Rattus norvegicus: one gene and its partner. The main gene of each other region encodes a partner of the protein of the gene in region 2 in a complex. Links are inferred from orthologs where the notes say so. Each region holds a gene or a part of one and is shown on either strand. Other genes may lie near its edges.

Evidence for each region.
Region 1: the proteins of Lpl (region 2) and Gpihbp1 are in contact, whole or in part, in a crystal structure (PDB 6OAU), measured with the Homo sapiens proteins. The link is inferred for Rattus norvegicus from reciprocal best matches to the Homo sapiens genes LPL and GPIHBP1. Residues at the interface, in NP_000228.1 of Homo sapiens: Tyr367, Gly368, Thr369, Ala371, Glu372, Glu374, Leu403, Met404, Lys406, Lys430, Lys440, Ile443, Cys445, Ser446, Arg447, Glu448, Val463, Lys464, Cys465, His466, Asp467, Ser469; in NP_835466.2 of Homo sapiens: Cys68, Lys69, Ser70, Leu92, Ala94, His95, Gly96, Asn97, Thr98, Glu99, Ser100, Leu103, Thr104, Thr105, Ser107, Trp109, Cys110, Thr111, Asp112, Ile117, Lys119, Val121, Glu122, Thr124, Val126, Met128.

What each region holds. Positions count from the first base shown.
Region 1 is NC_086025.1:109,165,041-109,168,954, forward strand, and holds the start of Gpihbp1 (glycosylphosphatidylinositol-anchored high density lipoprotein-binding protein 1 precursor), read left to right. Parts: upstream 1-1,360; 5' UTR 1,361-1,398; coding exon 1,399-1,450; intron 1,451-1,740; coding exon 1,741-1,884; intron 1,885-2,448; coding exon 2,449-2,568; intron 2,569-2,682; coding exon 2,683-3,077; coding exon of another isoform or gene 3,078-3,123; 3' UTR 3,124-3,914.
Region 2 is NC_086034.1:25,610,422-25,614,235, forward strand, and holds part of Lpl (lipoprotein lipase precursor), read right to left. Parts: intron 3,507-3,814; coding exon 3,346-3,506; intron 1-3,345. UniProt on the Homo sapiens protein: Key enzyme in triglyceride metabolism.

The DNA of each region.
Region 1 (3,914 bases), on a different chromosome or scaffold from region 2:
CTCACTAGAGGGGATATGAGTAGGGGACAAAAGAGATGATGCTAACTTGGGAAGAAACCGTGTCTATGAGAACTTAGGGATTGGAGTGGAAGGCAGCAGGAGGCTGGGAAAGTTCCCAAGTGCTAGGAAGGAAGACAGCTCAAGCAGAGTCAAGGAGGCCCAGCATCCTCATGGCTCAGGCATCAGCCCAGAAAGGGACCACCTATGCCATGGCATCAGCCCAGAAAGGAACCACCTATGCTATGCATGCGCGCACGCGCGCGCGCGCGCGCACACACACACACACACACACACACACACACACACACACACAAGACAGGCAGACTTCCCAGGACTTGCCAGTGACTCTGACTCCTGTCCTGAGTCCTGCGCTTCTCTCCATAGTTCATGGACTCTCTCCATACTTCAGGCGAGGGAACATGACTCTTCAGTACCTAGCTTGTCCATCTGCAAAGTTCCCCAAAGCTTGAAGGTCTGCTATACCCTGGGAGAGACCCAAGGAGTCCAAGGGCTCACACAGTATACACTGGCAGAGACAGTGACTGGGGTTTGCCAGACAGAAGTCAGTCCCAGAAGGCTCTCTGCCTCTAAGTCAACACCCACCTAGGTGTAGAGGCCCAGGGACGAGGAGACCTACATTCTGTAGGTTTATCAAGGGCAGGAGTACCCCGGAAAGGTCAGAGGCTTCAATATCAGGAGGCAGACATCCAGGAAAGTGTGAGCAGTAGGGAGGCCTCTGGGGAGGTAACTCATAAAGAGACTGAAGGGAAAGGGGGTTACGAAGGGAGCAACCTAAGGAAGAGGAGGCCAGGTCAGCGGGAGCCTGGTTGAGCAAAATCACAGACAAGAGGTGAAGAGAATGGTTCTTGAATCCACAGCTGGATAGACCATGCTCTTTTCTAAATACCTTGCAGAATGACTCCACTTGGGTGGAAGGTGCCTGGCCTGTGAACCTCAAATAGAGTCCTGAGCCCTTATGGTTGTACAGCCAGGGTCCCTAGAGGTTTGAGATAGATGCTGATGCAGCCTAGAACCAGGCGCACATCCAGCATGACAATGCTGAGGCCTGGAGGGATACGGAGCCAGGACAAGACCAGGTGGCTCCTGAGACCAGCACTCATCTTTTGTAGTCCCCACGCTCTCAGAAATGGCTCAGGTGAACAAGACACCCAAGGCCAAGATAATGACTTCCCCTTCCTCTCTATCCTTGGAGGCTCTGGAGGGAAGTGATGTTCCTGGCCTGGTGCCTGTAGCTGGAGACCAATGTGAGGCCCATTGTTTGAGATTAGAGCTGGTGGGGGCCACAGGAAGCCCCTAGTAATGTCCTATGTCCCACTTACCACAGACTCAGAACCCCGAGTGAGGACTGCACCAGTGGACAGAACAGCCTGAGTCAGGATGAAAGCTCTCAGGGCTGTCCTCCTGATCTTGCTACTCAGTGGACAGCCAGGTGCGGGACACCTCAGGAAGGGATGGCCTTACCCACGAGTACCTCCAGGAAGCCCTTGTCCTAGGGACAAGGAATAGGCATGCGGAGTAAGATGGAAGGCCTGGGACTTTTCTCCTCTGCCAGCCGCAGGCTTGACTGCTTCGGCACTGCAGGGGTGGGGGGTGGGGGGAATTCTGTCTCCTACAAAATGGAAAGCGTAGGGCATGTTAGGGGTCAGGACTTGTGCTCAACCCTGAGTGTGACCTCTGCATCTAAGTGGCTAAAGCTTACCGATGTCCTTGTGCCACCAGGGAGCAGCTGGGCACAAGAAGCTGGCGATGTGGACCTGGAGCTAGAGCGCTACAGCTACGATGATGACGGTGATGACGATGATGACGATGATGAAGAAGAGGAAGAGGAGGAGACCAACATGATCCCTGGCAGCAGGGACAGAGGTATCCTAACCCTGCCGGCCGAGGGCCCAGATTCCTCCCACACTTACCTCCCATCCCTGAGGGTAAAGCAAAGCAAGCTGCTAGCTTCCAAGCCAGGAGCCCAGCATGCTCACACAGGCTCTCCCCTCAGGCTGTAACCTTCTCCACCCTCAACTGACATCCAGGTCTGCTCCTCTTGGCCCCACCCCAACCCCTATGTCCCTTAATCCTGGGCCTCACCTTGCCTGAACCCCATGTTTTGTCCTTCCTCTTTTTTTTTTAAGTTTTTTTTATTTATTATATATAAGTACACTGTAGCTGTCTTCAGACACACCAGAAGAGGGCATCAGATCTCATTACAGATGGTTGTGAGCCACCATATGGTTGCTGGGAATTGAACTCAGGACCTCTGGAAGAGCAGTCAGTGCTCTTAACCACTGAACCATCTCTCCAGCCCTTGTCCTTCCTCTTAATGGCTCCAGGCACAGACCCCTCTGGGAGGGCTAAAACTGGCGGTGGGGACAGGGGAACTTGGGCGTGGCCCTGGAGTCTCACTCTCAACCTGAGCTGCCCTACTGCTCACAGCACCGCCTCTACAGTGCTACTTCTGCCAAGTGCTTCACAGCGGGGAGAGCTGCAACGAGACACAGAGCTGCTCCAGCAGCAAGCCCTTCTGTATCACAGTCATCTCCCATGGCAAAACTGGTGAGCATCTGGGGAAGCACACCCAGGGTCGGGGGGGCCGGGGGGGGGGACAGAGAAAAAACCCACACCAAAGCGCATGCTCCGCCCTTACCACCTGTTTCCCACACCCCCCAGACACAGGTGTCCTGACGACCTACTCCATGTGGTGTACTGATACCTGCCAGCCCATCGTGAAGACAGTGGACAGCACCCAAATGACCCAGACCTGTTGCCAGTCCACACTCTGCAATATTCCACCCTGGCAGAGCCCCCAAATCCACAACCCTCTGGGTGGCCGGGCAGACAGCCCCTTGAAGGGTGGGACCAGACATCCTCAAGGTGACAGGTTTAGCCACCCCCAGGTTGTCAAGGTTACTCATCCTCAGAGCGATGGGGCTCACTTGTCTAAGGGTGGCAAGGCTAACCAGCCCCAGGGAAATGGGGCCGGATTCCCTGCAGGCTGGAGCAAATTTGGTAACGTAGTTCTCCTGCTCACCTTCCTCACCAGTCTGTGGGCATCAGGGGCCTAAAGACCCGTCCTCCCCCAACCAGGACCCTTCAGCCTTTCCTCCCTGACAACCAGCTTCAGAGAATAAACTTGAATGTCTTTTGCCATCTAGCCAGTTGCTACTCCTTCGGCCATTCCCTGCCCTCAGTTTCACCCTCAGGCCTCCTTGCCTTCTTCTCTTCTCAGCCCGTGGGTGGGTAACATGTCAGCCTCAGATCTGGCTGTCTGTTGCCTGTGCTGTGGGGACGTTCAGCCTACAGGGGCCCCATCTGCTCAGCTACGCAGAAAAAATAACAAGCCTCAAAGGCTCATTCTCATCTTGAATTTGCCAGCACGAAATTCTCCCCGCTAGAGCCACCATCTAGAGAAAATCAGCCCTTACGTGTGGGGTGCAGGGTGAGCCTCCAGAGACCTGAAGGGAGGAGGTGTTGGAAGGAAACCAAGAGTGTTGCAGGGCTGAAATACAATGGCTGCAGCTAAGGGAGGGAGGGAGGCAGAGAGGGTAAGGAAGGCCTGGCTGCTCAGTAGGGGATTCTTCAGCTGTGGCCTGGCACAGAAATCCATCCTCTTCTGGGTTCTAGAACCTCTCTTCTAGCGTAGGCCTCCAAGAGGATGCTGGGAGCACAAGATGGACCACACATCTGGGAAATGTCACAGAGCCCCAAGAACTCCTTAGGCAGAGAAATAGATGGGACTCCCATCCCTGCCTGGGGGCATGGGTACCTTCTCTGGTGAGGAGAGGCCCCTAGGAGGTAGCATCTCCTTGAGTCATCAGGGAACCTGGCTTCTTGGCAGGAGGGCCCATCTTTGACTGAGTACAGCTCCTTTGGCTGAGCTCTTGGCTTCCGTGACTGCATCA
Region 2 (3,814 bases):
AGGAAGATTATTTTTAAGAGATGCAAATGCAGTACTTATAAAGAAAGGTTTGCACTTGCAAACTATTTATTAAGGATGTTAAGGTCAGGTCACTTTGCAGCCGCAGTAAAGGCTACCAATTGTTTGTTGAACTTAGAACACTTTGGCAAATGTGCTTTTTATTAAGACCTACAAAAACCAACAGAGGAAAGGGACCCTTGGATACCCAAATCTACTGACTCCATCTGGAGTTTTACACTTAAATGATGAGTTCTTTTAGACTCCTGCTTTATTGTTTATGCCTTTATTAGACTAAAAAACCCAAACATGAACTTCACGTCACTCCCTACACTAGACAACTTTTCACCTAGTTTCTGTGCCCTGTGCTGGGGCAAGGCCAGTTCGAGAGATACGGATTGTGGTTATACCTCTCCTATTAATCAGTTCTGTAAACTAACGTCAGCCTTCCTGGGACACCTGTAACAGAAAGAACAGCTCGAAGCTCCCACATACATTCCCACTTGTGACCAGTCTGGTTCTGATCTCCTGCTGGGTCAGCTCTGCAACTATTTTCAGCATGGAGAGAAAGCAAAGAAGAAATAATATGCAGCTGATGTCAGTCCACCAAAAACCCAGGTAAGCCTCTTTGAACACGTCTCAGCCAGGATACTTCAAGTTGGGGTTGAGAGCATGTCTTTGAAGGAACGAACTGAACACATGCAGACTGTCCATTCTGGACAGCTGGTCCTATTCTCTTCCCTTCCTGACCACCACACTGACTCCCTTTTGCAGCTCCTATAGAAGATCAGAAGACGGTGTCATTTCTCCAGAACATAGTGTTAACTGCCCTGACTCCCACCCCCAGTGAAACCCAGCTAGTGCAAAGCTCCAGTGGGAGTGGGCAGCTCTCCTGACCTGACAGAAGAGTGTCCTGACTTCCCTGAGTCTATGCCCTTGGGTGACCTGGAAGCTTATCTCTGATAAGCTGTTTGTTCTAGGTTCTGCTGTACCTTTTTCTATATCAATGTTTCCAAGTTAGGCCGTCTGGCAAAGGGCAGGTGACCAACTTACCTACACTTTTGGGTACTTGAATTAACTCAGTAGCAACTCATCCAACCCTTTTTCTTATTCAACATGAAATAAAGTTGAAAGAAACAAGGAGTTGAGGAGGCCACACACTGTCCTCTACTCAAAAAAGGTCTTGTTTTCTAGCTTTCTCTACGTACAAGCTTGTATCAGACAAGCTTTCTGAACCAGAACCCACTCTGCTGCCTGTAGCAGGTGTTTTGACTGAACCCAGCCAGCGTTTGCTCAGATAAGCCAGGATCAGCTGGCTGTATTCGATTCCAGACAAGGCAAGTCGTGTGGTAAGGAAACACAGCTGGCCTGATCAGCAACCTCGCCTGAGGCTAGCACTCAAAACACCACCATCTGTGACCTGAAGAGCACAGGTGCATTTTGTGAGGCAGTAGGACCAGGAGCTGCATCTGGCACCATGCTAGACACTGCATTAGTCATGAGATCTTCACAAGAGAAGGAAAGTCTCCCAGCCCCTCTGCAACTTTCTAAAGCTCCAAATTCTTTCAGGGGTCGGACTGAGATGTGTGAGAGTTGAGACTTGCGGTTGCTTCCCATGCGTAAGTGAGCTTAAACTTCTTGGGAAGGGCCATACTATGTACATTGAAACTGTCTCCAAACACTTCAAATATAAAGATATATAACATAACTCACAGTTTTTGTTATGTTAGGAGTTAGACTTTCATCATATGCTGTATACCATACTAGGTTCAGTCTAGTAAATGATATCTTAAAAACAGAAGCATCTGTATGGATCCTGCTGTCAACATATCCGTAGAGATTATAAATGATTACAATAACAAAACCACTTCAGTGTGTGGGAAGAGATATCTGTATTGGGTGTATATTGTTTTTACCTAATTCTTCTCATTGGAATTTGATATATAGCTATAGCGTTCAAGAGTTGCCTCTGAATAGGAAGACGATGCATCTTTAACCATCTATTTTATATAAATTATTTTTAATGTATAATGCAACCTGCTCACTAGGAATTGAAAATCGTAAAAGTTAATTGAAATACTCGCAGAACAGGACCATGGAAAGCAACTCTTTGGCATACTTGGGAGGGGCTATTTGTGAATATTTTAAACAAGTAGCTTTAACCACAGCTTGTATTTCTGTTCCTCTCCTTTTTATGTGTGTGCGTGTCTCTGGGTGGGTCCATGTGGGACAGCCTGATGTATTGTTCCTCAGGAGCTGTCCACCTTGCTTTTGGAGATGGGACTCTTGATGAGAAATTGGCCAAGAAGCTAGGTTGACTTGTCCGTGAGCTCCACAGATCCATCTGCGCCTCCCTGGGATTATAAGGCTATGCCCCTGTGCCCTGCTTTTTAATTATTTATTTTTTAAGTGCTGGAATAGAACTCAGGTCCTGTGCCTTTCAAGACAAACACTTTATAGCCTGAGCTACCTTCCTAAGAACGTTCTTCAGCCTTCTTCCATGACAGTTCTCTGATAAGCTCCCTTAAGTTTGTAGCTGGGGCACATCGGAAGCAGGGGCGCCTTAGTGAAGTCTATATGAAGCCCCTTGTTTTACCCTACGTCAGTAGGCTGAGGCCTAGAGAGCACAAATGATCACATCACAGGGCTGGAGAACAGCCAAGAAGCACCTGAGCAGCTCTTTTGGCCTCCTCTTACTCTCACAGATGACTTTAGGAAAGAGCCTTTGGTGAACAAATGCAAGATTGCATGAATGCAAGAATGAATGCATGCATGAATGAATGAACGAACGAATGAATGAATGAACGAATGAATGAACGAACGAATGAATGCATGAATGAATGAACGAATGAATGAATGAATGAACGAATGAATGAATGAACGAATGAATGAATGAACGAATGAATGAACGAATGAACGAATGAATGAACAAATGAACGAATGAGTGAATGAATGAATGAACGAATGAATGAACGAATGAACGAATGAGTGAATGAATGAATGAACGAATGAACAAACAAATCTTTTCCTGGTTCTGGGGCAGCTCATCCTGTGTGTATCAGGATCATGCCAGGCTTCCACTGGCTTGCTGAAACAGTAACACATCCTTATCTAGTGTTGAGTGGAACATTCTTCTTCTACCTCCATGAATGATCCAAGGGTAGCAGACAAAGGTGGGCACCAGCTAGGGGAAGGACTATTGAATTTGGGACTATAGGGGCTACCATGAACCAAGATCGCCTCTATTCAAGTTTAGAAGGAAGCTGTCAGAGAGCAGACAAATACAGATGGTGGCTTTCCAACAGCTGGGGTCTCATTGATCACCCTTTGCTCCAGAACCACTCTTACCGTCCATCCATGGATCACCACAAAGGTTTTGCTGCTGTGGTTGAAGTGGCAGTTAGACACAGAGTCTGCTAATCCAGGAATCAGATGACAAGTGTCCTCAGCTGTGTCTTCAGGGGTCCTTAGGGCAAATTTACTTTCGATGTCTGAGAAATCTCTTCCCCCTACAGGAAAGGAAATGGAAGGGATTATTTGGTTTTACATTCACAAGCAGCCGATGGCAACAACACCCTTGACTTTTCTAAAGCAGGTTTTCAAAAAGGAACATGAGTCTGTGCTAGCATGAGGACAGAGCATGAAGGCCCAGAGCACCAGAACTCACATAAATGCCAGGTGGGTGTGGTGACCTGCCTGGAAAATGCAGCCTTCCGAGGCAGAGGTGCGGTCTTCTGAGCGAGCTCTGGGTTTGATTCTAAGACCCTGCCTCAGAGAATAAGGTGAAAGAGTGATCAAGAAGGACAGCCTCCATCAA